Linked DNA regions of Tamandua tetradactyla. The protein of the gene in region 3 interacts with the protein of the main gene of each other region in a pairwise test. Links are inferred from orthologs where the notes say so. Each region holds a gene or a part of one and is shown on either strand. Other genes may lie near its edges.

The links.
Region 1: the proteins of CREB3 (region 3) and CGRRF1 interact in a two-hybrid assay, tested with the Homo sapiens proteins (2 studies listed by BioGRID and IntAct). The two-hybrid records come from large-scale screens. The link is inferred for Tamandua tetradactyla from reciprocal best matches to the Homo sapiens genes CREB3 and CGRRF1.
Region 2: the proteins of CREB3 (region 3) and HMOX1 interact in a two-hybrid assay, tested with the Homo sapiens proteins (2 studies listed by BioGRID and IntAct). The two-hybrid records come from large-scale screens. The link is inferred for Tamandua tetradactyla from reciprocal best matches to the Homo sapiens genes CREB3 and HMOX1.
Region 4: the proteins of CREB3 (region 3) and MS4A1 interact in a two-hybrid assay, tested with the Homo sapiens proteins (2 studies listed by BioGRID and IntAct). The two-hybrid records come from large-scale screens. The link is inferred for Tamandua tetradactyla from reciprocal best matches to the Homo sapiens genes CREB3 and MS4A1.

Annotation. Positions count from the first base shown.
Region 1 is NC_135338.1:11,779,094-11,787,029, forward strand, and holds the start of CGRRF1 (cell growth regulator with RING finger domain protein 1), read right to left. Parts: upstream 3,015-7,936; 5' UTR 2,904-3,014; coding exon 2,800-2,903; intron 1,474-2,799; exon of another isoform or gene 1,372-1,473; intron 1-1,371. UniProt on the Homo sapiens protein: Able to inhibit growth in several cell lines.
Region 2 is NC_135333.1:27,750,067-27,757,822, forward strand, and holds the start of HMOX1 (heme oxygenase 1), read left to right. Parts: upstream 1-4,744; 5' UTR 4,745-4,843; coding exon 4,844-4,866; intron 4,867-5,863; coding exon 5,864-5,984; intron 5,985-7,756.
Region 3 is NC_135328.1:60,057,221-60,064,401, forward strand, and holds the start of CREB3 (cyclic AMP-responsive element-binding protein 3), read right to left. Parts: upstream 3,005-7,181; 5' UTR 2,564-3,004; coding exon 2,405-2,563; intron 2,320-2,404; coding exon 2,148-2,319; intron 2,073-2,147; coding exon 2,005-2,072; intron 1,898-2,004; coding exon 1,808-1,897; intron 727-1,807; coding exon 620-726; intron 522-619; coding exon 453-521; intron 1-452. UniProt on the Homo sapiens protein: Endoplasmic reticulum (ER)-bound sequence-specific transcription factor that directly binds DNA and activates transcription. Plays a role in the unfolded protein response (UPR), promoting cell survival versus ER stress-induced apoptotic cell death.
Region 4 is NC_135335.1:14,563,968-14,570,918, forward strand, and holds the start of MS4A1 (B-lymphocyte antigen CD20), read right to left. Parts: upstream 3,020-6,951; 5' UTR 2,711-3,019; intron 1,514-2,710; 5' UTR 1,208-1,513; intron 1-1,207. UniProt on the Homo sapiens protein: B-lymphocyte-specific membrane protein that plays a role in the regulation of cellular calcium influx necessary for the development, differentiation, and activation of B-lymphocytes.

The DNA.
Region 1 (7,936 bases), on a different chromosome or scaffold from region 3:
ACAATTACCTGGGATTCCACCTTTGCATAAGTCATACCTAAATAAGGGAGTTAGGCAATCATTAAAGTTTCAAACCAAGTCTTAAGCCTAGCAGAGCCAGAGCCAGGACTTGAACCTTGGTCTGTTTGACTTCAAGGTCTGTCTCTTAACTGTCCCAGAAAAGAGATACCTAACTACTTTCCACCCACCACTATCAGTACAGCCTTCAATCAATTTCCCTTTCCCAATACTAAAGACAGATATCTAATTAGCTGACCCATTGAAAATAAAATTTTAAGCATATAATGGAATGATCAACTAGTTGCCTACTGTTCTTAGTGCAAGAAAATTGTTTAAGAAAATAACATTAACATTATAGTCATTAAGAAATCCTGTGTTAATCAAGCAGTGTGGACAACCAAAGCTACAGGCTGAGCCCCCAGTCTTGGGGTTTGTTTAACCCCAAAAGGATAGGTCAAGTCTACTTACAATTTAGGCCTAAGAGTCACCCCCAAGAGAGCCTCTTTCGTTGCTCAGATGTGGCCTCTCTCTCCAGCCAACATGATGAGCAGTCTCACCACCCTCCCCCTCTCTGCGTGGGACATGACTCCCATGGGTGTGGACCTTCCTGGCAACGTGGGACAGAGATCTTGGAATGAATGGAGACTCAGCGTCAAGGGACTGAGAAAAGCCCTAGAATGAGCTGAGAGTTAACATCAAGGGATTGAGAGAACCTTCTCGACCAAAAGGGGGAAGAGTGAAATGAGACTGTCAATGGCTGAGAGATTATCCTGAAGGTTATTCTTATGCATTAAGTATAGATATCACCTTGTTGTTCAAGATGTAGTGGAGAGGCTGGAGGGAACTGCCTGAAAATGTAGAGCTGTGCTCCAGTAGCCATATTTCTTGATGATGATTGAACAATGATATAGCTTTCACAATGTGTCTCTGTGAATGTGAAAATCTTGTGTCTGATGCTCCTTTTATATACCATATCAACAAAAGAGTAGAACATATGGAATAAAAATAAATAATAGGGGGAACAAATGTTAAAATAAATTTAGTTTGAAAGGCTAGTGGTAAATGAAAGTGAGGGGTAAGGGGTATGGTATGTATAACTTTTTTTTCTGTTATTGTTTTATCTCTTTTTCTGTTGTCTTTATTTCTTTTTCTAAATTAATGCAAATGTTCTAAGAAATGATGAATATGCAACTATGTGATGATATTAAGAATTAACTGATTATATATGTAGAATGGAATATCTTACTGTTTTGTTTGTTTGTTGTTAATTTTTTTTTTAATTAAAAAAAAAAAGAAATCCTGTGTTAAGACTGCTTTTCTCACTTGGGCAACTTCTTTTTTTGGCTTTTAAAGGGGGAATTTAATAAGTTGAAAAATATGGAACGCTTCACGAATTTGCATGTCATCCTTGAGTGCAGAGGCCATGCTAATCTCCTCTGTATCGTTCCAATTTTAGTACATGGAACCATATACTTTGTCGAAGTCAGCACCAATTAGAGTGGCTTTTATTTTATTTTATTTTTTGCATGGGCAGGCACTGGGAATCGAACCTGAGTCTCTGGCATGGCAGGTAAGAACTCTGCCTGCTGAGCCACCATGGCCTACCCTCACTTGGGCAACGTCTTAACATCAACTACAAACTTTCTTGAAAATGAAAAACAGCAGTAAAATTTGATGGGTCAAGAGTAACAAATTGTGTAAGACTGGCCTTACCCCTCCCCCACTGCCGAACAAGGAATTTTACAGTCTTTTGCTGGTGGGATGGGAGACAATGTAGAAATAGTGATACTCTGGTTAGTTCCTAAAGGTTGTATATATTTCCAGAAACTGATAACGGTCTGCACATTCTCTAAATAACCACATATATGTGATCAAAGAGTATTTTTTAACTCCTTCTACACAGCCTACTCTATTCATCAGCATGTATCTCCTCTTCCCCCGTGCTCATGCTGTGTTCTCTGAATTACCTTCTCTTCTCCATTTACTTTTCAAACTACTCATTCTTCAAAATCCAGCTCAAGTCTCTCCACTCACTGGAGCTCTCTCTCTTATGTCCCAGGCCACAGATGTGATCCATTTAGAGCTACCGTTGACCTATTTGGAAACACCGTATTTCCAAAGGAACTTTGGTGGCTGCGGTCTAGAAAAACTATGTGGGAGAAAAAAATGGTTTCCACCAGCAGTATTCATAAGGTTTGTCTAAAATGATACAGGGGCATCTCAAGAAAGAAATTTTGGAATCTCTAGAAGAATTGCTGGGGTATTATCTAACTGTCTGTTCTCCTGGTCTCCAAAGGGTAAACTAGCTCTATTCCCTAATGCAACCAATCTCTCAGCTATCTTCCAGCACTAAAATTAGGATTCTATAGTTCCAGCGACTAAATCACATTTCAAAATGTGGAGTATTCGGTAGATGTGAGGCCAAGTAAGACAGTGCCCTGTACCCTTGACTGAGTTATCCCGCGCACACAGTAGGCGTCCATTGGAAAGCAGCCTGTTGGACAAGCATCCTAACGCAGTACTCGCACTAGCCCCTTTCTGGCGCTGTATCACCTGGAAACAAAGCTAGGTAAAACACCCCAATTCACCCGGTCCAGACGCCCCCCGCGACGGGATAGGCACCGTGGTGCAGGGCAGTGACGCAGGAGCCGTGCCCACCTCGTTTTCTTCCCGGGGCCGGTCGAAGCCGTCGGCGCTGGCTCCCCACTGCCCCCAACGCCCCCGTCCAGTGACCCTGCAGCCCACCGCTCCTTCATCCCGCGGCTGTCCGCCTCTTACCCCTAGCCCCGGAATACTTACCATCCCAATACCAGGCCGGTGGTCACGATGAAGCAGGTAAAGACCACCGCGATGTAGAAAAGCGGGGAGTACTCATAGAGCGTCACCAGAAATACCGCGGCCATCAGGCTCCTCTCCTTCGCTGAGCCGGACTCCAGCGTCCAGCCCAGCCCATTGGGCCCGGGACACAGGCGCGACGGTGCCCCGGAGAGGACAAATTTTGTAGCTCGGTGCTAGCCTGGAGTTCTTGTAGGCTAGACTCGGGGTCAGCCCTTCGGAGCAGGCAGACCAATCAGGACGTCGCCTAAAGGGTACGCCACGCCCCTCTCGTCGGGTTCGCTACGCCACGCCCCTCTCTTTGGTTCGCTACGCCACGCCCCTTTCGTTGGTTCGCAAGCTCCTGCCCGGGCAGGGGGGCAGAGCCCCTACTTGTCCTGCCGGGGACTCCCGGGTTTGATATTCAGCAAGTGAGTTCTCGGCTAGTCTGCCCCGGCACAGTCCGAAATCCAAGTGCACCGATTTTAAATCCTGCATATTAGATTCCAGGCAAATTTGGGAGGAGGAGTCGGGTCAGCATCCGGGATTCTACAAAGTAAGATAACCCCACACCTGTTCTTGTGTTATCTGGAAGACTTACTAATAGGCACTATACAAAACAAAGAAACAAACAAAAGGAGTTTCTACCACAAGCAACTTATATAAGGGTTGTCGACCTTTTCAGATTGATTTAATGATAGAGGAAAAACAGCATTTCGTATCCAAGAGAATCACAAAAATAAATCAACTTTCCTCCCTCTTTTTCTCCTCCCCCTACATCCCTCAAATTAGAATTAGTCAGATATTTGAACATTTTTTGTATTCGTTTTCACTCTAATTTTTATATATCTGTCTATCTATCCATATATTTTTATGGATAATTTTTAACCAAGCAGAAGCTTTTAAGTATAGTAATTTACAAGAGAAATGTTCAACCATCCCCTTATCTGGGTTGAGTCAGCTGCATCTAGGTAGCCTTCTAGAAGTCCCTCATGAAACTTTCACTGACATCTCATTGGTTTCAGTTCAATCCCAAAGTCACACAGAGACCAGGAAATGTCTTTTATTCTGATCAGCAAAATCTACAAAGAGGGATTTTATTACCAAGGAAGAAAGGGAGAATGAACCTCAGGATAGGCAACTAGTAATGTCAGCCACACTCCCAAGTGACCAATAAAATTGATGGTGGGGTAGTAAGATGAGCTAAGTTTGTTCTGTGGCTTCACACGCTCCTTAGAAAATGATCATGTATTCAGTAGAGTTGCACTATGTAAGAAGCTTTCGTTCTATAACATTTCCCTTTTTTTTTTTTCTTTTTCTTTGCATGGACAGGAACCAGGAATCCAACCCAGGTATCTGGCATGGCAGGCGAGAATTCTGCCACTGAGCCACCGTCACATCACTTGGATTCTATAGCATTTTTAGTGATTACGTATCTAGCTTGTGAAAGTACTATAGTTGATTAAATCAACTCTCAATTGTTGGCCAATTTTTTTCATTGTTATAAACAACACTGTAATTAGCATCCTTAAAGCTAAATTATTTCCTTACTATAAATTCCTAGGATTCAAAAACTATGCACATATTAAAAATTCTGGAGAAATACTGCCCTTCAAAACTAATTTGCAGTCTCCACCTTTCATCCAAAATTTTGCCCTCATTTGCTATTGTCACTTAACAAAAATGTGGCCAATTTGAAAGGCAATTTTATTATAATAAAACAATAAAGAATTTCATAACATAAAATGTAGAGATTTCCAGGCTTAAGTGGTATATTAAATACCTGCACCTAATTTTGCACCCTTCCAAAATTCCACTAAAACTATAGCAAAGCATTTTTGTTTTTGTTTTTTTAATCAACAAAAACAAGAGCAGGAAACAAAATTACAGCAGCAACACACTGGAAGATGGAAAAAGATGGACAAAGACAATGCGCCAACCAGGCCATGAAAACCAAATTCCAAACCAGCAATATGAAAAACTGAGATCCAATCTGAAGAATTCTCAGAAAGAATAGGAACTGATACAACCCTAACTCAAGTCCTTGTCATTTCCCACTTGTAACTTGTCACCCTACTTCCGACATAGATTCTTTCTAAAGCATTCTGCACACTGCTGGCAAAAAATGATTTTCCATAATACATTATTGTGCTGGCTTGAAACTGTCGTGTACCCCAGAAAAGCCATGTTCTTTAATCCTCATTCAATATTGCTGGGTGGGATCTTTTTATTATTTCTATGAAGATGTGTCCCACCCAATTATGGATGGTAAGTTTTGATTAGATGGTTTCCATGGAGGTATATCTCCACCCATTCAAGGTGAGGTTGCTTACAGGAGTCCTTTAAGATGGAACCATTTTGGAAAAAGCTTTAGTGCTGACAGAGCCCACACAACCAAAGATCTTTGGACATGCAAAAGGAAAATACCCCTGGGGAAGGAAGCTATGAAATGAGGAAGAAAAGCTAGAAGACAGCACCACGTGCCTTACAGCTGACAGAGGTGTGCCAGATGGTATCAGCCTTTCTTGAGTGAAGGTAACCTTTCGTTGGTGCCTTAATTTAGACATTTTCATGGCCTTAGAACAGCAAACTTGCAACTTAATAAAATCACTTTTTAAAAGCCGCTCCATTTGTGGTATATTGCATTCCAGCAGCTTTGACAAACTAAAACAATTATCTGACAACACAGCTGAAAACCTTTGCATGTCACACTATATTTCCTTGAGAATGAAGGGCATACCCACCTCTACATGATCTGACTCCCACTTATTTCTCATTTATTAATTCAGGAAATATCCAAGTATCAGATATATGCCAGACACTGGAATAGGCACTAGGGAAACAATAATAAGCAAAAGTTGTTGTAAGTTGAACTGTGTTTCCCCTAAAAAATGTATGTTGATGTCCTAACCCCCATACCTATAAATATGACCTTATTTGGAAATAGGGTCATAAACAAATGGAATTTGTTCACTTCAAATGATGCCACCCTGGAGTAGGGCAGGCCATTAATCCACTATGACTGGTGTCTTTATAAGAAGGGGCGAGGATACCCAGACACACACAGAGAGAAGAATGTCATGTGACAACTGAGATAGACATTGAAGAGCAAGGATTGCCAGGAAACCACCAGAAGGTTGGAAGGAGTCTCCCCTATAAATATGACCTTATTTGGAAATAGGGTCATAAACAAATGGAACTGTGAGACAATAAATTTCTGTTTTAAGTCCTCCAATTTTTCATACTTTGTTACAGCAGCCCTAACAAACTAAGGCAATGGCATTTCCCTGTTCTCATGGAGCTTATTATCTAATAGAAAAGACTGGCATTAACCAAAGAATGTTGATGAAAATGTAAAGACAAAATTATAGTAAGAGCTATTAAATGGAGATTCATGGATCTATGAGAATATATAATGGGAGAACTAGTTGCCTTGGTGAGGTAGATCAGGGAAGTCTTCTCCGAAGAAAAGTTAGTTGAGCTGAGATCTGATAGTTTATCATGCAAAGGGACAGGAGGACAGAATAGCACTTAGAACAAAAGCTACAACACATGCCAGGAGACTGTGCAGGCCTCAGGTTATTTGGACAATTTAAATGAAAACATGGATATCAGTCCCAATCACACCCAATTTATATCAACAATATGAATGACAAAATTTAAACAGAAGAATTGAAGGATCCCTGTATGCCCTGTTTTCTCAGTTTGGCCATGTGGTAGATATGGTAGCTTTGAAGACTATGAGGACGAGGGGGCAGGTCTTCCATATACTTAAGGAACTGGGCTCATCCACAAACGCCTGGAGACAGTTACAAGGATTTCCATTTTATGGTAAACCAATGCAAATCCAGTATGCAAAATCAGATTCTGATACAATATCTAAAATACATGGCACATTTACTGACAAAGAAAAGAAAAAAGCCAAAACTGTGGAACAGACTGCAACAACTGCAAACAGAAAGTCTGGTCTGGGAACACCAAATTCAACCAACACCCAAGGAAATACAACACCAAATCCTCAGGTTCCTGATTATCCTCCAAATTCTATTTTAGTCCTTAATAACTTACCAGAAGAGACTAATAGGATGATGTTCTTCATGCTGTTTAATCAGTTACGTGGTTTTAAGGAAGTCCATTTGGTACCTCGAAGACATGACATTGCTTTGTTGAATTTGAAAATGACAGGCAGCCTTAATTTTGCACAATAAACTTTTATTTGTATAAATATATAAAAAAGCTGTAACACATGCAAAGGCATTGAGGTGGGAGAAACCACAGCAAACCCAAGAAATTGGAAGGCCAATGTCACTAAAGCCTGGATGGTGAGGAGGGGACTGGTACGAAGAGGGAGAGAGAGGTAGGACCCAGACTCTGCTGGAGTCTTGCCATTTTAATGAACTCAACTCGCCCTAAAAGTAATAAAAAAAGCCTCTAAGAGGGTTGAAGAAGAAGAGTGGAGATCAGTTTGCCTTTTGAATCAATCACTTTGGTTATTCTGTAGAAAACTGATGGGAAGGTCAGGAAGGACAGGAGTGAATGTGGGGGTATCAGTGAATAGACTCTTTTGAAAGTCAAGACAAAAAAATACCGATAACTCTGATTAGGATGGTAATGATGACTTGCAGCAAAGTAGACTGTTACTTAGAAATAATTTAATCTGTGAGTGACAGAAAGCCAAAAACAAGACTGTCTTAATCAAAATAGTTTTTTCCCCTTTCAGGTAAAAGTGCAAAGGTAGGTGTCATGGTCAGGTTCATGCGTTAACTTGGCCAAGTGGTGGTACCTGTTTGTCTAGTTGGGCAAGTGCTGGCCTGTCTGTTGCAATGAGGACATTTCATAGAATTAAATCATGATCACATCAGCTGCATCCACAGTTGATTCCATTTGTAATCAGCCAAAAGGGAGTGTTTTCTGCAATGAGTGATGCTTAATCTAATCACTGGAAGCCTTTTAAGGAGGATTCAGAAGAGACAGGCTCTCTTCCTGCTTCGGTTGGCGAGCCTCTCCTGTGGAGTTCATCCAGACCCTCCATTGGAATTGTCGGTTTCACAGCCTGCCCTATGGATTTAGGACTCTGTGTTCCCACAGTCACATGAGACACTTTTATAAACTTTATATTTGC
Region 2 (7,756 bases), on a different chromosome or scaffold from region 3:
AGTATCCTGATACTGCAGCACCATTTGTTGAATTTTTATTTTTGTTTGTTTTTGTTTTGGGGAAGTGCCTGGGTGGGGAATTGAACCCAGACCTCCCACATGGCAGGTGAGAACTCTACCACTGAACTACCCTCACACCCCAGTATCCTTATGGTTTTAACCTGTATTTGCCTAATGACCTGTGAGGCTGCATACATTTACATATGCTTAATTGCCATTGTTCTCTCTTTTTTGGTGAACTGTCAGTTCAAAATTTTTTTCATTTGCTTGTTTGTCTTTGAATCAAATTGAATGAATTCTTTGTACATTCTAGATACAATTCCTTTGCCAGATATATGTTTTAAAAATTTTTTCTTCCCAGTCTGTGGGTTGTGTCTTTCTTATATTTTATAACAGTATCTTTTGAACAGCACAATCTTTAAATTTTGACAAAGCCCAATTTATTGCATTTTTTCCTTTCTTTACATGCTTCTTGTATTGTATTTAAGAAATCTTCACTAAACCTAGGGTCACTAAAATTTTCTTTTATGATTTGGCCCATAAGTTTTATAGGTTTAGGTTTAGCTCTTTCATTTATGACAATGATCCGTTTCTGAGTTGGGTCTGGAAAGATGAATCTGAGTCTGGCAGAAGCAGAGAAAGGACATTCTAGGCAGGTGGAGCCACCTGAGCAAAAGGCCCAGCGGGGTACCCGGCTTTTGCCAAGTGTGGCAGAGGGTTCTCTGCGGCTGGCACACATGGTGGGAGGGAGCAGGTGTGGTGAGCTCTCTCCCGCTGGAGAGGTGGGCAGGGCCAGGTCGCCAAGGCCCAGGTGTGCCAGGCTCAGGAGCTTGCACTTTATCTCAAAGGCACTGGGGAAACACTGAAGTACGTCACCTGTGCAGTCACCACCTTTGCCTAATCTGCAAAATGCGGGCAATTTGGAGGAGTTATCAAGGTAAAGAATGGAAAATTGTTTGGTCAGGGCCAGCTTTCTTCTGGGTAAGGATTCAGCTCCCCCAGCTCCCCCCAGCTCCCCCCATCTCCCATAAGTAGTGTGTTGAGAAGAATTCAGTGTTTTGCACTCCTGTCTGTGTATGTTTTTTTTTTTTTAATGATTTGAGCTTGTCTACTTGCTGAGGAAGGCCGCAGATCTCCTCGGGAGCCCCCTGCCCTGCTGAGTCAAGGGCATAGCCTCTCTGGGCCTGTGGAGGGTGGGGCATGGATGCAGTCAGGACACCCTCTGTGATCTTGTTTATCTGAGACATCCCTTACAGAGGATACTCAAGCCAGAGACTGCCTACCACACACACACACACACACACACACACACACACACACACACACACACACACACACACACACACACACACAACTACCCACCCACCCTCACCCCTGCACCTCCAGCCTCAGCTATGGCCTTGCCTTTGTTTTTCACCATTAGAATCTTTGGAGCCACAGCCTTGGCCCCCTCCCTGCAGCCCAAACAACTTCTGTTTTTCAGGCGGTGCCGCGGAGTGCTGAGTCGAGATTTCCACATTTCCCTTGTGGAGTTGAGTTTTCTGCTGTGTCATGGTTGGGAGGGGGAACTTGTGGAGACAAAGGGAAGGAGGATTTTGCTGAGTCACAGCTGCTTCCTCAGCCTCTCTGGGTGGTCGGTGAAAGGGCAGCTTTAACAGCAGGCAAGAGGAAATGAAACTTCTAGAAACAGGCAGAAACCTCTTATTTCCAAGTCTTTACACTTTTACAAAGCCCTGTACATCTCAAAATTAACATTCCAAAACTAAACCGCTGAGCTTCCCCCAAACCTGCTCTTCCCCATCTCAGTAAATTGTCAACTCCATCTTCCCAGTTGCTTGAATCCAAAATTTGGAAGTTATTCTGGACTCCTCTTTCTCTCTCACAACCCACATCCTATCTGTCTGAAAATCTTGGTGACGCCATCTTTATAATATGTAGGTCTAAAGCCACTTCTCACTCACTCCTGACTCCGCCATCATCCTCTCTCACCTGGACTATTGTAGTAGGTAGCCGTCTACCATTGGCCTTCTCTCCTCTCTTCTGCCCTCAGTGACCAGCAGTAATCCCATGAAAATGTATGTCAGATCCTATCAAGTCTCTGCTCAAAACTCTGCAGTCCCACCATCTCACAAGAGGTCCTGGCAATGCAAGGCCCTATGGGCGCCTCCACGTATACAGGGCCCTGTCCCCCCATCTCTCCCCTGCCCCATCCCCTCACCCTTTCTGCTCCGGGCCCACTGACCTCTTTGCAGCATCTTGTCCATGCCAGGCATGTTCTGCCTTGGGACCTTTGTCCCACTTCTCTCTCTCTCCCCCCAGATGTCCAAAAGGCTGCTGTTACAGATGGAATCTTGTCTTCCACAAAGACATGTTCAACCTCTGGACCTGTGGGCATGAACCCATTTGTAAACAGGCTCTTTGAAGATGTTATTAGTTAAGGGGAGTTTGGCCCAAAATGAGTCAGGGTGGGCCTGAATCCAGTAAGACCGGAGTCCTTGAAAGCAGGGAAAATTTGACAAAGTCAGGAGGAAATATCTGGGAAGACAGACGGCCATGGGACAGAGCAGAGACTGAGTTACAGACTGCCAGCAAGCTATCACAAGAACACTACAGACTTTGGAAAAAAGTACTTGGGACTTCTAGCTTCCAAATCTGAGACAATAAATTCCTATTGTTTAAGCCAACCAATCCATGGTACTTTGTTACAGTGGCCTTAGCAAACTAAGACCCCTCCTTCTCTCCCTCACCCCCACCCTGGGAAGCCCACCCTAACTACTTGATTTAAAATTGTAACCCATCCCTCCAAGCACTCCTGATCACCCTTACCCTACCCTGTTTTTTCCATAGTACTCAACACCTTCTAACATACTACATAATTCACATCTCTATTGTGTCTATTGCTTATTGTTTAATTCTCCTGCCAGAATATAAACTCCGCAAGGGCAAGTATCTTGTTTTGTTCAGTCGTGTATCTCCAGCCCCTAAAAGAGTGCCTGACATATAGTAAGTGCTCAATAAATAGATGTGCCCTGGCAGCCTGGTCTGTTTGCTGTACTATTCAAATCTGGATTAAACATCAGACTTTCTGTGTTTAGTTCTCTAGCTCAATCTCTCTGCCTCAGCTTTCTCATCTATAAAATAGGGATAGTAACAGTAGCAGCCTTATGGGGTTATTGTGAGGATAAGTGAGTTCATATGCATAAGTCTTAGAATGGTATCTGGCACACAGCAGGTGCTCAATGATTATTATCATTATCATTTTCCATAGAAGCAGAAGTGGTTATTTGCTCACAGATCCTGCACAGGGGCTCAAGGCCTCAGGGCCCAAGAAAAGAGAGGGATGTACTGCCTTGATCAGTTCTCCCAAACCACCTGGCTCCTTGGTACAGCCCATCTTTCTAGAAGGTTCAGCGGCCTCCATGTTGCTGGACTGATTTGGTGACTGAAGCTCAGGGAAGTATCCCTGGAAGAGGAGGGAGGGATCATGGGCTGGAACTCTGGCTTCTTTTGATTACAGGGACCCACTGTCTACCCAAACCTGCCCCATTCTCCCAGACTATCTGCTGGCATCAGAGACTCCCAGATGTGTGTGGCTGGAGCGGACTGCCAGAATCAGCCATGCCAGCCTCCCTGCTGGAGAATGCCTGCTTGACCAATCTGTACTTGCATTTCTTCAAGGGTGGTACCTGCCACCTCCATTTTCAAACAACACCTTTGTCATGAGCCAAAGTCACCTCCTTTTATGAGTTAGAATCCCGAATTGTGGCTTTGGGAAAGGACTTTAAGAATCAGCCAGTTCATCTGTCTGGTCAGTGATCCTTTTCTAGCTCTCGGTCCTAATTCATGGAGAATTAACTCAAAGTGGGTGCCGTCTCCATTCCTTGCCCTGGCAAGGGCACTGGGGATAAGAGGTGAGTCAGACCCGGGTATTGACCTGCCAGAGCACCCCAAGTATGCAAGCAGACAGGCAGTATGCATGCCAAGCATCGCAGTGGACTCTGGACCAAGAGAGAAGGGAACCTGGGGGCCCAGGCTAAGAGGTTGCAGTCACTCCTGGTCTGGATCCAGGATTCCTGCTTACCTGTGCGGTCCCACCCCATGCGTGCCTCTACGTAAAATGGGAGCCTCTACAGTCATAGGACTGTGGTAGGGATGAACCAGGAAAACGGTACAGACTCTAGCGTTTCGTAACTGCCCAAGACACAGGTCCTACGTACACATTTAAAGGGATTGTAAGAAAGCAGGCTTTACCCGGCGGCGACATTTTAGGATGCAGGTCCCCAAAGCAAGGGAGGTGGAGACCGTAATTCTCTGATGTTGCTTCTAAGCGCTGCCCCGTTCCCCTCCCCCCACCCCCTCCCAGAACTCTGGAACCTTCGAGATTCCTGGGAATGCGTGAAGTACCATCACTGGGGTGGGGGGGGTGAGGGGTGGGGTGGGAGGGGTGGGTACGGGTATCTGGAAAGGGCAAAATCGCACTCAGAGCCGAGCAGCTGCTCAGAGATTTCCTGAAGAGTGCTTTCTTTTTTAAACACATCCGGTGGCCCAGCTTTGTTTTCCAAGGGTCATATGACGGCTCCGGCGCCCCCCCTCGCCCACCCTTCCACCGCGAGCCAGGACCGGGACGGGCGCGGACCCAGCGCGGGTGTTGCAACGTCGGGCCAGAAAAGCGCGGATCAGCTGTTTCGCCGGCGGGCCCACGTGACCCGTCCGGAGCATAAATCGGACGGCGCGGTCGGGGCCCTGCACACTCGCTCACCCCTTCCGCAGGATTGGAGACGCGTCGGTAGGCGCCGCCCGCGCAGCGCAGCCAGCACCGAGCTACCCGAGCGCCACCCGCCCGATGGAGCGCCCGCAGCCGGGCAGGCAAGCGCGGGACGGCGGGAGGGGCTCCCTTTGCTGGCGCGGGACTGCCGAGCGCCCCCTGCCCTCTCCCTTTAGGTTTTCAACAGGCGCTCGGCGGAAACCTAGCCAGCTCCGGCGGCGGGTGGCGGGGTCGGGTCAGGGAGGGCTGGGGTTCAAATCTTGCCGGTGTCACTTCCTAGCAGGGCCGGTGGGGTGGCTTCGAGGGCCGGCTTCAAGACAAGGAGTCTCTGTGGAGAGTGGGGGTCCGGCTTTCCAGGGTGTTGGGAGGGACTCCCTGATTAATCCAAGATCCTTGGGGCTACCCAAGCCTGGGTGAGAAGCTCTTGGTTTTCACCCACGTGGTGTTTGCCCTCTTCTCCTGCTGTTGAGCATCTGAGTTAAGACATCACTTTCGCAGAGGGGCAAAACCGACGCTCCCTCCCCATCCCCGGTAGCAGGTGGGGGATCTGGGATTGAAAGCTGCTCTATACATCTGCAGGTCTCTGCTTATTTCCTTCTCCCAAGCTGTGAAGAGTTTAACCAGCATGTGTAGAAGGGAGGTTGATGTTGTGGGGTGCAGATTCTAGGGGTGGGGCAGATATGGACACATGGCAGAATTACTCCCGGAAAGGAACCTTTCCATGATTTACTCAGTTCTCAATCTTTTTAACCCAAACACTTGTATTACGATAAATGTTACAGTGATAACATTATAGAAAGTTCCTGAAATGTATATCTGAAACTTTGACAAAATGAATGAATTAGACATTGGGTCGAAAAGCCAGGCAAAGCAATTGAACTGTGGGCCATGAGTGTGGTCACACTACCCGCTGCTGCTTCTCTGTGCCGTCCTCTCTCCTTCATGGGGAATCACAGGTGACAGGAGCTCTGCCCTTGGCTGGTGTTTAGGGGCTGCCTGTGAGGGCGGTCGGGAATGTGGCCTGGGTGTTAGGGAAGCCAGTTGCATGGGAAGAAGCCTGCCGTCCCCTTGTTCACCCTCCCTTCCTTCCCTTTGCAGCATGCCCCAGGATTTGTCAGAGGCCTTGAAGGATGCCACCAAGGAGGTGCATCAGCAGGCGGAGAATGCGGAGTTCATGAAAAACTTTCAGAAGGGCCAGGTGACCCCAGAAGGCTTTAAGGTATGTGGCCTCGGGGGGCCAGCCCTGGTGTGGGGTGTGGTAGGTGTGTGCAGTCAGATCAGTTTAAGTGAGGATTAGGGCCAGGGACCAGGTGGGCATGTCTAAGGGAGTCATCTTACAGGTGGCTGCAGTGAGGCTCAGAGAGGGGAAGCAACTCACCCAAGGTCACACAGCAAGCCTATGGTCTGCTAGGCAGTGTTGTGGAGGGGCTGGCACAACAGTGTCAACAGTGTAGTACCTATTCTGTGCTGGGCATGTAACACACATGACTTCTAACCTTTGCCTTGGCCCTGATGATGAAGATGGGAAAGAGAAGGCTCAGAGAGGCTAAGTAACAGAAGATCACACCACCAGTAATGAAGTAGAAAGGTTCAGAGTTAAACCAAGTCCGGTCTCCTTGCAGAGCTTATGCTCGTGGTCTGATTCTCTTTGCCTTTGGAGGAAAGAGGTATGGGCTCGAACCCTAGCATGACCATTTCCTAACAGGGAGATTTACTTTGCACGTCATCTAACCTCGCTGAGCCTCCTTTCCTCAACTATGAGGAAAACCCTCACCAGCAGTGTTTTCTTAAGCACCTGCTATATGCTAGGCACTGACTTTTGCGATCTCCTAGCACTGTGGTGAAACTTCATGTAAAGAGAAGGAAAAACACCAGGTAGTTGTTGGGTATTTGGGGGGGGGGGGGGGGAATGGGAAGGGGTGGGTAGTGGTTCATGGGCCGGGAATCGAACCCTGTCTCCTGGATGGCAGGTGAGCATTCTACCACTGAACCGCCTGTGCACCCAGGTATTGAGTGTTAAAACACCAGTGTGGCAAAAGGCTTGGTTGGATTGAACAGAGAGTCGGGGCGCTGTATTCCACCACTCCTGCCCCCTCTCTCTTGTCCTTCCCCACCCCTGTCTTCTGCTTCCACCATGTGTGGTGCTTCAGACAAGGGAGCTCCATCATCCAGTTTGGGGGCAGCAGGATGTGTCTCTTGGGTGATGGGTCTGTTTCTCCCTCCTCCTTATCCTCTTCCTCCCTCCCTCAAGAAAGCTGATGTGCACCTGCTTTTGTGCAGTGGGGTTGAGGGTGGAGAGGGAAGGGACCACTGGGGTCACATAGACTTTGGGCCTTGCCTCTAAGCTGTCAAGTTGAAAATGGGCATAAAGTCCTATGAGGAACCTTGCACTCACTATAGTCACGTTAGATTATGATGGTGGAGGAGGCACTTGGCATGGCCTCTCTGTTTGGGTCCTAAGTGCTGGGCTGTGCCCTGTGCTTTCCCTGTATCATCTTGCTTGACTGTCATACCAGCCCCGTTTAATTCGGAGTCTGGTTATGCCCCTTCACATGGGAGGGGACTGAGGCCTGACATGCACAGTGTCACACAGACCTTGGATCAGCTCGTTCACTGCAGGGCAGGGAAGCTGAGCCCAGAGAGGGCAAGTGGCTCGCCTGCTGTCACACAGGCAAGGACTGGCTGAGCCCAGGTTGGAAATGGGCCTCTCAGACTCAAAAACCCAGGTTTTCTTGCCCCAGGCTACCTTGCTTTCTGCCTTCTTGAGGAATGGGGCTGCTACGAATGTTTGTGGCTCAGAAATAACATGGAAACCTCAACAGTAACATCTCAACTTTGTCTTCCTTCAAACTCAAACTAGAGCTATTAATGTGTAATGGGAGGTTCCCCAGCCAAGTGCCTGGGATATGTCTCCTGGGCTGGCATCCAGTGGTGGTCAGAGTCAGGATGGACCTCCTGGAAAGAGAATCATGCTTTGCAGATGGCAGGTCC
Region 3 (7,181 bases):
GCCTTGCTCTGACTTATACTCCTTTGCAAATACCTATAGTGTTTTTTTTTAATGCCCTATCAACTAGGCAGATCATATTCACCAGGCATTCCCTGCACTCTACCTTCTGGTCCCAACTCTACCATTTTACGGTTCCAATCAAACCGGACTATGTTTTATTCTCTCTGCCTAGAATGCTTTCACTACTCCCAGAATACTACTCCCTATTAAATGCCATCTGCCCCATGAGGTCTTTCTTGCTTTCCTCCTTTCTCTTACTTGGTACTTATTTATCCTTAGTTACTCTGAATTTATTTCCCCATTACTGCAAGCTTCTTGGAATCAGAGCCAAGAGAAGTCCAAGTACCAGCCTCACATGTGGGAGCTGCCCAGTGAGAAATCAAGTGTGGCGCAGGGGAAAGACAGCATTAAATGGGAAGGAGAGGAGGGACTGATACTGGAGGGTTGCTTACAGATTCTGTTCCTCCAAGAGCTGTACTTTGTTCTTTAGCTCCAGATTCTGGGCTGTGCATTTCAGCACCCTAGGGGAATAAGACAAGCATATGGCCTGTATCTTCCCTTCAAAAGCCAACTATCTCTCCTCCCCCAACTCCTCTCAGAGTCCCTTTCCCCTTCATACCTGCTTTCTAGACCCCCCACGTACATCTTCTTCTTTCTACGACTCTCTTGAGCAGACTTTTTGTTTCGAATCTTCCTCCGCACTCGTTTCAGAGCTTGTTCCTCCACCTGGGAGAAGAGAGGAAAGGAACATCAGAGAAACATGGAACCATAGAGTTAGAGAGTAAATGAGTTCAATCTTCTTCCCAATGTAGGAAACCTTTTCCAAAGTGTCCCTGACCAACAAGCACTAGACTTCTGTCTGAATGCTTCCAAGTGTCAGATGTTAATACTCCCACAAACCCAGATCAAGTTTAAAATCTTTCTTATCCTGAGCCAACATCTGCCTCCTAATTTCTATCCATTGGGCTTTAGTGTCTGATATCTGGGACCATGTAGAATAAACCATGTTTAGCTATTTGGCACTTGACATTTCTTCACAATCTTCCTCAGAGTTAAAAACAAAAGTAAAACTTGCTCAAAATGTGTAATTCTTCATCATCCTGCTCTCCTCAGGGTGGACTCCATCCTGTTAATAACTGTCAATGATCTGGGTTCCAAACGGGACACTAAGAAATGCTTTCACTAATTAAGGAGAGCAACACCCCTATCAATAGAGTCTCCAGATCCCATTCATTTTTCAGTAGCCACTTCATGTTAATGACTCATCTTGTACTTTTTTAAGAAGTTAAAATTCCCTTAATCTTTCTGTCAATGAACATTGATTTTATCACTGTATCACAGTGTTGTGCTTGTGAAATTATCACTCATTGCCTGTAACTTAAAAATCAAGAATTTACATTTATTTTCGTTAAACTGTTGAGTTCAGCCTTGTCAAATTCTAAAGCTCAATTCTACCATTCAGCAAGAGGTGGATTACCATAAAGCCATAGATATCTAAGTTTCAGGGCCCCTCACTTGGCACAGTCTTTGCTGAGACCTTATACTAATGTTGCACTGATAATTTTGAATTTTTTTCTTAAAAAGAACATCAAAATTTGTATAAGCTTCAGACCCCACAAAATCAGCATCTGCTTTTATTTCTAGCATATTAACTACATGCCCCAGCTTCCTGCAAGCAACAAATTTGCTAAATTTCTTACCTCAGTTCCTTTACAAGTTACTGATAATACAATTAACAGGATTGACCTGCTTGGCACTCATACAGTGTCCCCTCCCCACAAGCCTTTGCTCCCTATAGGACTCTTACCTTAGTGAGAGGAAGAGTCCCAGGCAGAGTAAACCCCTCCTTCTCCAATAGCCTCTTCTCCTCATCGGTCAGTATCAGACTACCAATCTCCTGGGGTTATGGGGTGGTGGGCAGCAGAGTTGCATGAAGATGTCAGAAAATGGGGAATCCTGCCCCCCCCATACAATTTGGGATTAATCCTCCCATAAGTCAAGTACCTGCTCTGCCTGCTCCTCCACCTGCAATGGAGTCATCTGGGGCCCCTTCTTTCCACAGCTCCCACTATCTGCAAACAAGAAAGTAAGAATAGCCAGGTCCATGAGCCCTCTCCTCTCTCAAATTTCATTTATTTCAGACTCACCGAGATCTACAGAGCTATATTCCTGTGGGAGGGAGTAGGTGTGATCATGGTAAACGGGACAGAGGTTGGAGAAGCTGAGAACGTTCAACGATGGTGGGGGGCTCAGCAGGGAGGTCAGGAAATCCTCCACCTCCCATTCGCTCAGTACCTGCACAGGGTTCAAATTAATGGGCTGTGACTGATTACTAAATCTCTGCTTCACGAATGCCCCCCTCCCCCTCCGGCCCGCGCCTCCCCGACACAGAACTCTCACCCACCTCAGCGAGTGGCAGCTCCCATTCCTCCGGAACCTCCACGGCGGCCTCCTCGGACGCCGCCCCCAAATCTCCGCTTTCCTCTAGCAGGAAGTCCAGCAGGTCCTGGTCACCGGGGCCCAGCGCCAGGTCCATATCGGTTTCCACGGGGGGTTCGACCATCTACCCAGCCCCAAATCCCGTGCCCCAGGAATAACCTCCAGCCCAGTATGCCTCCCCCAAATATCGTAGGGTTTCTTTTCCGCCGGGCTTTCCCCTCTAGAGTCTGACGCGCCTCCCAGAGCCGATTCTCTTCAGCTTCCAACACAACAGAAGTGACGCTTATAGCCCTCATGGCATTCTGGGACATGAAGTTCCTCCCAATGCAGAAGTGGCCTTGGGGCCGCGCCACGTCCCTGGGGCTATGCAAACTAGAGCGGACGTTCCTGCTGGCCACCTCACACCCACGGGGCGGGGATTCTAGGGATCCGGCTCCGCCTTCGCCCAAAACGAGAAAAGGAAGGGTTAGAGACTAAAAGGGAACTTGGGCACGGTTCGGACGTTTTCGTCCGACCGCGCCGCACCCTTGCTTCCTGCCGGGGAGGGGCTGCGCGTCTTCGGCGGGCTGCCGAGCATCGAGAGCTGGCGCCAGAGCAGCTTCCTGCAGTCCCCGCAACCATAGAGCGCGGGCTCAGGGCGCCGCCCGCGGGTGGGGGACTTTCCGGGGACGGAAGTGATCGAGAGAGTGTCTCTCGGCGGGAGGGCGAGGCCGGAGCCCGAGAACGACCGGGAGAAAGAGCGGGGTAGCGGGCCGGCGGGCGGGGCACAGAGCCGGGCAGCGCAGGTAGGCCGGACGGGGCCGAGCGGGAACGGCGGGGTGGGGCCGCGAGGCTGGACCTGGGAGGCGGGCTGGCGCGCGGGCGGGGCCGCTGACTCTTCCTGCGTCTCCTGTTTCGGATCCTCTTGGAGAGGTCAGCTTCCAGTTAGTGAATGTCGCATTGGATTCAGAACTAAGTAGGCTGTTTGCTGGAGCCAAGCCCTTCCTGGGAGCAGTCCTTTTCCTGAGATGGGCTTGGGGGAGGGGGAGGACTTGGTTGGCAGTGAAGCTCGGGGCGCGGATAGGCTTTGGGGTTAGTTGATAGCGGCTATGTGGATAGGAAAGCTTTGGGTGAGTTTGGTATTAAGTGGCATAGGGTTTAGGATTCAAGGTTAGCTTTAGGAGTTAAGACTTAGAGTTATTAATGTGTCAGGTCCGGTTTGTAGGCAAGGTTTAGATTAAGATCATGGTTTTGTTTTTTAGGATGGCTAGCAGACGTCAGAGTTAAGAGTTAAGGGGTCAACAAATGGGAATTAGGTTAGACCTACATTTTAGGGATTAAAGATCGTTGGCGTGGTTAGGTATGAGGAATAAGCAGTGAAGGAGTGGGTCAGGAATCAAGTTACACATGAGCTTTAGGTTTAGGGATCAACATTTAGGGTTAAGGTTGAGGGGGTTCCCAAAGGTAAAAATCAGATCGGTATTATAGATCAGGGATTGGGTTACCATCTCTGCTGTGAAAGAGATGAATGTCAAAGCCAGTACTGGGGATCAAAAATAAATTAGGGTTGGGGTTAATGTTAGGAATTAGGGGCAACTTTACGGTTATGGTTGAGGTCAGGGTAGTTGAACTTGTTCTGGTGAAATTTAAGAAGTTCTTGGTAGGTAGGTGCCCTTGTTTTGGGCAGAGGTCTCATTCCTTTGTAGTCACAGGGAGCTTCTTGGGCTAAATTCAAGCTAGAGTTCTGGGCTTCAGTTGGAAGTGCAGGTGTCTAGGATTCCAGCATCTCTATCCCATCCTCTAAGACCAGGGCTCGTATTGTGGTCATTAAAAGTTGGAGGACTGGAGTTCCTAGACTCTTTTGTTTAAAAGAAGGGAGGTAGAGTGGGGATAGAGGCCCAAGAAATGTATAAAGCCAAATCATAAATGGGGGACTACTAAGGGAGAAGGGATTAGTGACTAAGGGAGAAGCCGGCCAAGGAAACACTGTTGCCCTGGTGAAGAGAATGGCTGAATCCCCCAAAAGTTCACCCCATTGCCTCTCACTGTCCTCTCATTCTCTAAATGTTTTTTAAATCTCTCCAACTGTCATTCCTGGCCCTGCATTTCATTCCCTCACACGAATACTTCCCTTGCCTTTAACCCTCTCTTATTATTCATTTTACTTAAGTTCCCAACCTTAATTCTGCTTCCCTCTCCCCTTCTTAATCCACACATCTGACCTTACTTTACCCTCACCCCAAAACTTGAGCTTTCCCATCATTTTAAAGCACTCTTCTCCCATTCTCACCCACTCCATCTATACCACCCTTTTTCAGCACAACGCAACTGCTGAACACCCCAGTCCCTGCTGTGTGCCATCCTTTAATTCTTAGCCTCCTTGAATTTCTTGGTCCATTTGCAGATCCCCTTCCCCCACTCCCCAAACAGAAAAGAGGAAATGAGACCCAAAGAGGAAACTGGGTCTTGCTGATCCCACGCCCAGCCAGGCCACTGACCACACCCCCATTTCACACCCAGCCTGACACGGCCACTGACCACAACCCTATGCCATACCCAGCCTGACCCTGCCACTGGCTATACCCCACACTCCACCCCCAAACTCCAGCTTTTCTTAGCCACAGCCAGTGTCCCTTCACCCTCATCTCCAGCCTAATTTGGCCACTAACCACAGCCTTATTTCTTCCCTACCCTCTCTAGCCTGATCTGGCCTCTGACCTCACTCCATCTTTCTCTCTGAGTCTGACATCTACTGCCCACATATTCATTCCTCCCCTTGCCCCAGCCTGATCCAGTGACTGATCATATATTCATATTTCCTACTATTGTCATCACCACTAGTCTTCTCCCTCCCCATATTGATGCATTCACTGACCACACCCCATCTGCCCCTACCTGCCTACTAACCACGTATCCATTTTTCCCACCGCCTAACCATACACCCTAACCACAGCCTCATCCTCATATTCCCAGCCCAGCCTGATCTGTCCTCCGTCTTCCCATTTTCTTACCTAATCTCATGCTACTACCAATGACAGGAAGCTATGGAATTCCAGCCTAACCGTGAGTCCTTGTCTGATAAGATTGACAGGACAGACTGTTGTCAGGTCCTGTCAGTTCTACCTCTTAAACTTTCTTTAAAGTGACATCCTCCTCTCCACCATTCTAATCTTGGCTTTATTATCACTTACATTTGCTAATATGGTGTCTCTCTAACCAATCTCCTAGGTAATTGCCAGAGTTATGTTCCTAAAAATCCAGTCCTGATCGTATCTCTTCTCTACTCAAAAGCCTCCCCTGGCCTCCTGTTAACCTCCAGAATGTAAAACTCCTCATTATCCTCTCTTGTCCTCCCCTGCCTTTCCATCCTAACCCTAACTTCCCCACCACTGCTCCCTTGCGGGCACCCATGCTTCAACCAGCCTACCTGCTCACTTCCCCGAATGCTCCTCCACAATTTCCTGCTTCTCCACTTTTGCATATGCTCTTCCTTCTGCCTGGAATGCTACCCCTGACCCATCTCCAGTGGCCTAGTGGAGAAAGCCTGGGTTCAGATCATGGCTCTACAAGTTATTAGCTGTGTGACTCTGGACAAGTGCTCTTTGAACAAGTACTTCACTTTGAACCTCAGTTTAATAATCTGTCAAAATGGAGATGATGCCTGCCTTGCAGGGTTGTTACATGTAAGGATCAAATGAAATTTTGTATACAAAGCAGTTAACATATAGTTAATAAATGACAGATCGTTATCATTTTTTATTATCATTATTATTTTTTAATCTAACTTCAAAGGACAACTTTTTCATGGGGACTTTTCCTATCCACCTTCCCTAACCTAATCAGATGGCTCTTATCACAGCCTGCTCTTTATTGTAATTCTGTACTTGACTTATCCATCCTCTTGACTGGGAGCTCCTAGAGGGCAAAGCTGTTGTCTTACTCATCTCCCTTCCCACCCACTGAAAGTTTTGGCCCTCGGCCTTCCCCACATTGGGGATGCTTACTGAGTGAATGAAGAATGCTTACTGGGTGAATGAAGGAAAATGTATACCTAAAGGAAAAAAGGATGTTGGGAGGAGGGGGGCTGTGTGCTTGAGATGGGGTGTATTTAGAGGGGAAGTTGCTTGCATTGGATGGAGTCTTTATGGAAAGATCAAATGGCTGCAGTGGCATCTGAGTCAGGGCTCGGTGACTGAGATAACAGATATACAAAGAGACGCCATGGAGGTAGCTTTGTGAGAAAGAGCTCTGTGATGGGGGTGTGTTTGGGGAAGAGAAGTGTGCATGGGATAGGGGTGTATGCGGGGAGGATGTGTATTGGGGAGGTCAGGCCCAGCCCTTCAGCTGCCCAGTCCAGCTCTAAAAGAGCCTCCGGCAGCTTGAGGCCGGATATGTCAGTCTCACCCACAACCCCCCCCCACCACCACCACCACAGTTGTGGACTCAGAGGCCAAATTTGGTAACAGACTGAGTATTACTCCCCCAACCCTCTTACTTTCTGGCTCTGCCTTCAGTTTTCTCTTCCCCTTTGTCCCTTTCTGTAACCCCCTATCTTTCTGCGGCTCCCTTTGTGGTTATCTACACAGACTGTATTCTCCATGTACCCCAAATTCCTTCCCCCAATACACTTACATTCCATTCCTTCCTGGGATTTGACCTCTTATCCTCCATCTCACCCTCCCCCCTAATTGCCCAACTCCTTTGGAATGCATTTCAGGAATGTCTTGAGGGAGGAGGAGTTCCCTGGGAGGGGGACACTGGTG
Region 4 (6,951 bases), on a different chromosome or scaffold from region 3:
AAAAAAATGCTCATAATGACTTCACCGGTCACCAATATACACTTGGCTGGAAGACTAGTTGGGAGAGAAGTAGACATTCTTGACCACGTCGGTCAAACTATGGTAACAATACGATTTCGTTTATGCTCAACTATATTAATATCAGGATTCAGTTTATCACACATTGCCCTGTTTCACTACTCCACAACAACTTTTTAAACCAGTTTTTTTCTCTTAAAAAATTTATTAGAGAAGTTATAAGATTGCAAAACAATCATGCATAAAGTACAGGATTCCTGTACACTACCCCACCACCAACTTGCATTGGTGTGGAACGTTTGTTACTATTAATGATAGCACTTTTTTTTATGATTGTACTATTTCTTTTTTAACAGTAGGTACTCTCCATGCTCTTTTATATGTTTAAACCAGTTTTGAGCTTTTAAAGGCACCACTGTTTCATGTCCACTCACTGAAGAAAGAGCTTACAGCCTTGATGGTGGTGATTTGAATGATGCCTTTTAGGTCCAGTCATTCCCATCATTTAGTGAGAAGTTCAAAGCTGTCGTATCTTTTTTTTTTTTTTTTTTTTTTACCTCAGATTCCCCCCTCACCACTCAAAATAACTGCATATTTATCTTTCCAGCCTCCTTTGCCCCTCTGTGTGAGCTCCTCAGCACCTCTCCTTCCATCATGAATTTATTCCTTCAAAGAAATTGCTCCTTCCTTGCATCTTGAGTCTCTTACTCTATTTGTGGTGTGATGTAGCAGAAAGAGCTAATCCCAACGCTGTTTTGTTTGCTACTAGAAATTTAGGAGAATATTTGCCTTACCCATTTCATGGCATTATTTTAAGAACATGAGAGAATCTGCAAGTTATAAAGTACTGAAGGATCATAAAGACTAATTGTGACTACTGGATCCTTCTTCTGTGACTAACATGTGCTGTAGTGTCCCCAATTCCAAAGCCCACTTCCTTTAATCAAGCCAAGTCCTTGGCCACTGCCCCGTCTCCCCTCTCCTTTAATCCCAGTTTCTTCAGAGCTTAGCATTCTACTCTCTTCCTCCACTTCTCCACCACCCACTCCAGTCTTGCACACTTTGCTCATAATTTCTGCTGGAACCACTTAACTAGAACCACTGTCCTCAAGCCTTCCTGTGCAAAGACGATATAGTACTTTCTCAAGCATCACCCCTCAGATTGACTTACTTCTACTCTGTTCATTACCTGGACTTAAAAAGTTGGAACGTTATTTCACTCCAGCTCCTTCATCTTCCAAGTTCAACCAATTGCCAAGTCATGCCATGTCCACCTCTGCAATGTACCTTGCACCTGGATGTTTATTTCCACTTCTAGCATCACCCTGTGAGTTTGATTCTCATTTCCTCATTCTTAGCACACAAGTCTTATTCTTCTGCTTTCAGTTTCTCTCTTTTCGAATCCATCTTCCACGTGACAGCTAAGATCAACCTCCATAAAGTACTGCTCCAGTCATGCTCTTCCTGAGTCTGAACTGTCAGTGACCTGCCGTTCCTACTGGAGAAACATCTTACCTAGCCACTCAACACAGTCACAGTTCAATTCTACCATAACTTTCCAAGCTCATAGCCACTGCTCTCCCACCCCATTACACAAAGCCATTGCAGAGTCTTCTCTACTCTGATGCCTCTGAAATTTGACAGACTCCTCCCCTCCACCCCCATCAGTTTCAGTCTCCCCATTTGTCATTCCCATCACCTGAGACCTCCATATAGTGCCTAGACCTGTTTTCTTCCCTTGATTTTGAGAACTTCTACTTCAAAGCTCAAAGCTCTTTACGTCCTCTATTTGTCAACTGTTTTCTTCCTTTTGTCATATCTTAGCTCCTCTAAAGGAGTGTGACTTCTTCCAAGCACCTTGTTTCCCAGGAGTACATGCTATGAGCTCAGAACACCTTCAATGGAACATTAAATTGAATTACTTTCACGGGGGCAGGTTTGCAAATGCTCAGGGTGCCAGGTCAAAAGGAGGTAATTTCACCTCACCTGGTGGTCAGTGCAAGCAAGCAATTGTATGGGAAACAGGGAAGGGGAATCATGGATTCAGGAAATGGTTGTGATACAGTTAAAATCCGTCTTTGTTGCCTTTCAAAAGAACTTCTTATCTCCATTGCTTACTCACTTTCTAAGCTTCTTATGCGATCAATCAGAGGTAGGCTAATGTGCTTAGTTTGGTACCGATCCCTCTAGAAAATGTTTAAAGGCCTTTAAAACAAAAGTTATGCAGTGGAGATATTTTCATTATAACCATGACTAATTACTTTCCTATTTGGTACCAGGTAGTTCTCAGAATGGCAGGATTTTAGTTCATGTAACCTTCATAGTACATTTATTTCCCCCATTGTTTGGATTAGGCACCTAGAGGTTTAGTAATTTGTCTATGATTGTATGGCTAATAAGCAGTGGAGCTGAAGTCCGAACACAGCAGGTTAGAAGCCGTCCTTTAATGACCTGCCATCATCTACTACCTTTGTAGAGTGATGCTTGGTAGGCCGCCCAGGGAAATTCTTGAGGGAGAGAGTGGTTAAAGGAGTGGGTGGGCAATGAGTCTTGGTATCACCCTTCAAATCATGAAACCATCAGCAAAACCTGACCAGAGAAACCCCAGGATGAAAGCTGAGCATCGAAAGGCTCTGAACAACCTAATTATGCCTCATCCATTTCATTTAAAGGAAACAAATTCATTCCTTACCTGCTACTCCAAGGCCTCAGGGCTCGAGGGCTGATCTGGAAGCTGGATGCAGAGATCAGTTGGTGCTGTCAGATTCTCAAGACGTGGGGAGGGCAAATGAGATAGGCCAGACCTGGGGCTGGGATCTCTGATAGATACCAGGTGACGGGAAATCAGGAGCTTCTGTTACCTTGGGCTTCACCCCAATTACTTTGGTTGAACACACACTTACCAGGGCCGAAGGAGATACAAAAAAGTTTCTGCATTACCAGGAGGTTTCAGTTCTTGAAAAAGACCCCAGGGGACAGCCTGACAAGTATCGTGCTGCCTTAATTAGAAGAACTTTGCAGCCCCCACCCTGTAAACAGGTGTGGATGGTGGGTCCCCAAGGGCAAGAAGGGTGCTACAAATTCCCCATAGATGAGTTGATAGGGCTGATTTTTACCTTATTTCACTTTTTGGGTGAGTACGTGGGGAGGAGGCATCCATGCGGATAGACTTAAGACTCAATGAGCACATACATTTGGGGGTGTTGTACCTTTTGACCTCCAAATATTACCCTCATTTGTTCACACTTATTTGGATTCTAGTGGGACCATGTATATCTTACGATGGATTTAGCAGAAATGGCCCCAAAATACACGTGGGGGTTGTAGAACATCTACCCAGAAGTTTGAGCCAAGAGCTTGCCTCCACCTTTTGGGACATAAATTGAAATGGTACCTTTACTTATTACCCATCCTTTCCCTCTGTCTAGTTCTTTGGTGTCCCTATTCTTTTCTGCCTCAGTTGGTGCCCTATGGCAATCAAACGCAGTGCTAGCTCAAGGCAGGTGGGGAGCGGGGTAGTAGTAGTCTGGGGAGTCGATATATTTAAAGAAAGTTTTGCCCAAAGACATTGCTATTCCCCTCATCCTTGCAAATGTAACCCTTCATATGCTGGATTTTTTTTTTCATCTCTTTAATTTTCCTTATCCATTGCTTTATTTTGAAGAGATCCAGGGCCATAATTAGGTAATTATTTGCCTAAAATAGGGCTCTAATCTGAGGTAAATTCATCTTTCTTTTTCTCAAGTGCTCTCTCTCATTCTCTCTTTCCCTTTCTCCTTCTTGCCTCTCTTTTCTTTGAAACAGTTTGGAACCACAGGATTAGAACCAATGGGTATAAGAAGTTCTGGTTCTGGGGAGGCTGATTTTGTTGCAACATAAAAAAATATGCCATCTCTGCCCCATTAGGAGCTGTTCACTGGTGGAAGAGGCTACGCTTCAGACAGACAACTCACCGTCTTCAGGAACAGTCAAGTAAAACCCATGAAAACACCTCTCGGAAATGCTGTGGAGAGAATGGGGTGGTGGTGGAAAAAGAAGGCCCACCGTCCTCTTAAAGTGGCCTAAGTGTGGATCTGTGAGTGTCTCCACAGGGTCGGAGTGATAGATGATTGTGATGGCCGAAGTGTGAGTCCCGGATGGTGGGTTGGGTTGATCAAAGGCATGGGCCTGCCTTTTAGTGGGCAGGTGGGCAGGGTCAGAGCTTAGCAAATGCATGGCATGGATGAGGCATGAGTTGGGATCTTACAACCTGTTGGTTCAGATCTTTTTCTCTGTTCAGCCTTGTTTCCCTCCAGTCAGCCTTTGGTTGCTGACTCGTCTTTGTGGCCAGCAAGATTCTTTAGGTGGGTCTATGTAAGATTTATCCCAAAATAGGTATATTAATAAACTTTTGTTTTCTTTTTGCTGATTTTGACTGATTGACCTTTCAGTCCTTAAAACTTCTGTGTTTGTGTGTGTTGTAACTCCTACTAAAATTTGGATTTGTCATAGCTCCTTCTTTGTTCTATGATTTTTGTTTCCTCTGTAATGTTTGAGGCTATTAGGTCCATAACACATTAAACATTTTTCTCTTTGAATTTAATATGAATTGAATTTGCCATTATCTAGTGACCCTCTCTTTCCCAAGTGGTGGTCTCTATGAAAGTCTACGTAGAAATATGCCAACTATTGTGTAGTCAGTATATGCCTGATAGAACTATTTCTTCCTTTTATTTCCCCTCCTAGAATTCCAAGTTTTTTTCCCCCTTGGAACATTTTCCTCTCTTATGGAAACCAACATAGTCTATCTAATTATGTTTATTTGTCATTGCCTTACTCATCCATTGGTCTCCACATCGTTGGGAAACAGGGCAGGTTTTTCTGATTTCTTTGTTCTCAAACAGTGCTATCAGAGATAATGATTCTGCTTTGGTTCCTTCTCCCATCCATGCTGTCCAGTATTAGGCAGTAACATTTTGGTCTGTCTCTAACTGCTCAATAAAGCACACGTACCCAAAATGACCTGCTGATGGAGGGTACACTTTGGTTTCAGAGAGTTGGGAAGGGAGAATGCAGGGCCTCTGAGTGGTAAGACTGCGTCTAATTGCAAATAGAATTGGTTGCAGGCCAAACAATTCCAGTGCTGTACTTGCAAATAATTCATATGAAGGAAAATGTGCATGCAAGTACTTAAGAGCTTTATAGATCATGAACTCTTCTTTCTGCTCTCTGAAGGACTCCCTTAAATCCTTAACAGTTAGGAAATAACTTTAGTTGAATACCTACTGTCCATATGAAAGTCTTAAAAGAGTTATAGTATCACTTCTTTTTTAGTATTATTGAAACTAAAGAAATGAAAGTAACTGGTCCAGTCATACAGCGTATGAGCGATGTTTAGGAAGCAAAAGAACCTCAACTGTAACTAGAAAAAACAACTATTTCTTAAGTGACTTTTACATTCTAGGCACTGATAACATCACCTTACATATTGCATTTTAGGCTCACAGGAAACGCATTAAGAAGGTATCATTATTGCATTTTTATGCCAGGAATTGAAAGCTCCCAAACAGAAAGGCATCTGCTCAAGTCACAGTTTTAAATGGCAAAACCCATATTTATTATTATTATTATTATTATTTTTTTTTTGCATGGGCAGGCACCAGGAATCAAACCGAGGTCTCTGGCATGGCAGGCGAGAACTCTGCCATTGAGCCACCATGGCCTGCCCCGTATTATTTTTTAATAGACATTAATTTTTAAAGCAGTTTTAAGTTTTCAGAAAAATTGCACAGAAAGTACAGTGTTCCTACATGCTTCCCCCACCCTGCTGCATAGAGTTCCCTTTAGCATTACCTTGCATTAGTGTGGCATACTGGTTATAATTGATGACCTGATATTGATATGTTAGGACTAAACGTATCAATACGTTACTAAAGTCCAAAGTTGGCATAAGGGTTCACTCTTTTTGTTGTGCAGTTCTATGGGTTTTGACAAATGCCATCATGTCATTATATTCACCATTTCGGTATCATACAGAATAGTTTCAATGTCCTAAAAATGTTCTCCCACCTGTTCACCATCCTTGTCTCCTTCCCTCCCTCCCCCTGAGCTCCCGGCAACCAATGACTCTTAAACTGTCTGTATAGGGAAAACACATATTTAATTCTGTCTGCCTTAGAAGCTAATGGCTATTTGGTGAAAGGGCTCTCACCCATAAATTACCACCGACCCCATATATCAGAACTACTCGGTTGCTGAACATTTTTTTATCAGAGCCTTACTCCAATGCAAATTAAAAATTTAGTTTTTCTTCTAGTATCCCCCTTGTTTTCTTGTCCTCACACATGCACTTAGGTCTTTCTCCTTGCAGATTATAACAAACATAAAAGCCCATGCCTTAGTTTCTTTCTTTGTGTTGGCTAACAAGCAGTCTTAGTAGGATTTGGGATCAGAGGGATCGTGATTCAAACCCTAGTTCTACATTTTCCTCCCTTTGTGGTCTCCAAAAGTTACCCGCTGTGAGTGTCAGTTGTCGTGTCTGTGTCATGAAGCTATTTGTACTGCGTCAGAGGGTTGTGATGACAATTAAATGAGATTATGCAGGTAAGATCTCTAATAGTTAGCAGGTATTCAGTCAGTGGAAGGTAATATAATGTAGGGCAGAGGCTCTCAAGGTGTGGGCTGGGGTTTCCCTAGGGTCCTTGAGACATTTTATTTGTGTCTGTGAACTCAAAACTATTTTCATAATAATACTAAGATGTTGTTTGCGTTTTTTATTGTTTTACATTTTTTTTCACGAGTTTACATGGTGTTCTCCTCAGGCTACATAACTTGCGATATTGCAGCAGGTACCTACAGGGCAGGTATGAGAATCCATTTGTCTTCCATTAGAGTCAAGCTGTGGTTTCCAAACTTTGCTCTGCATTGCATTCACCTGTAGATTTTTTTAAACTA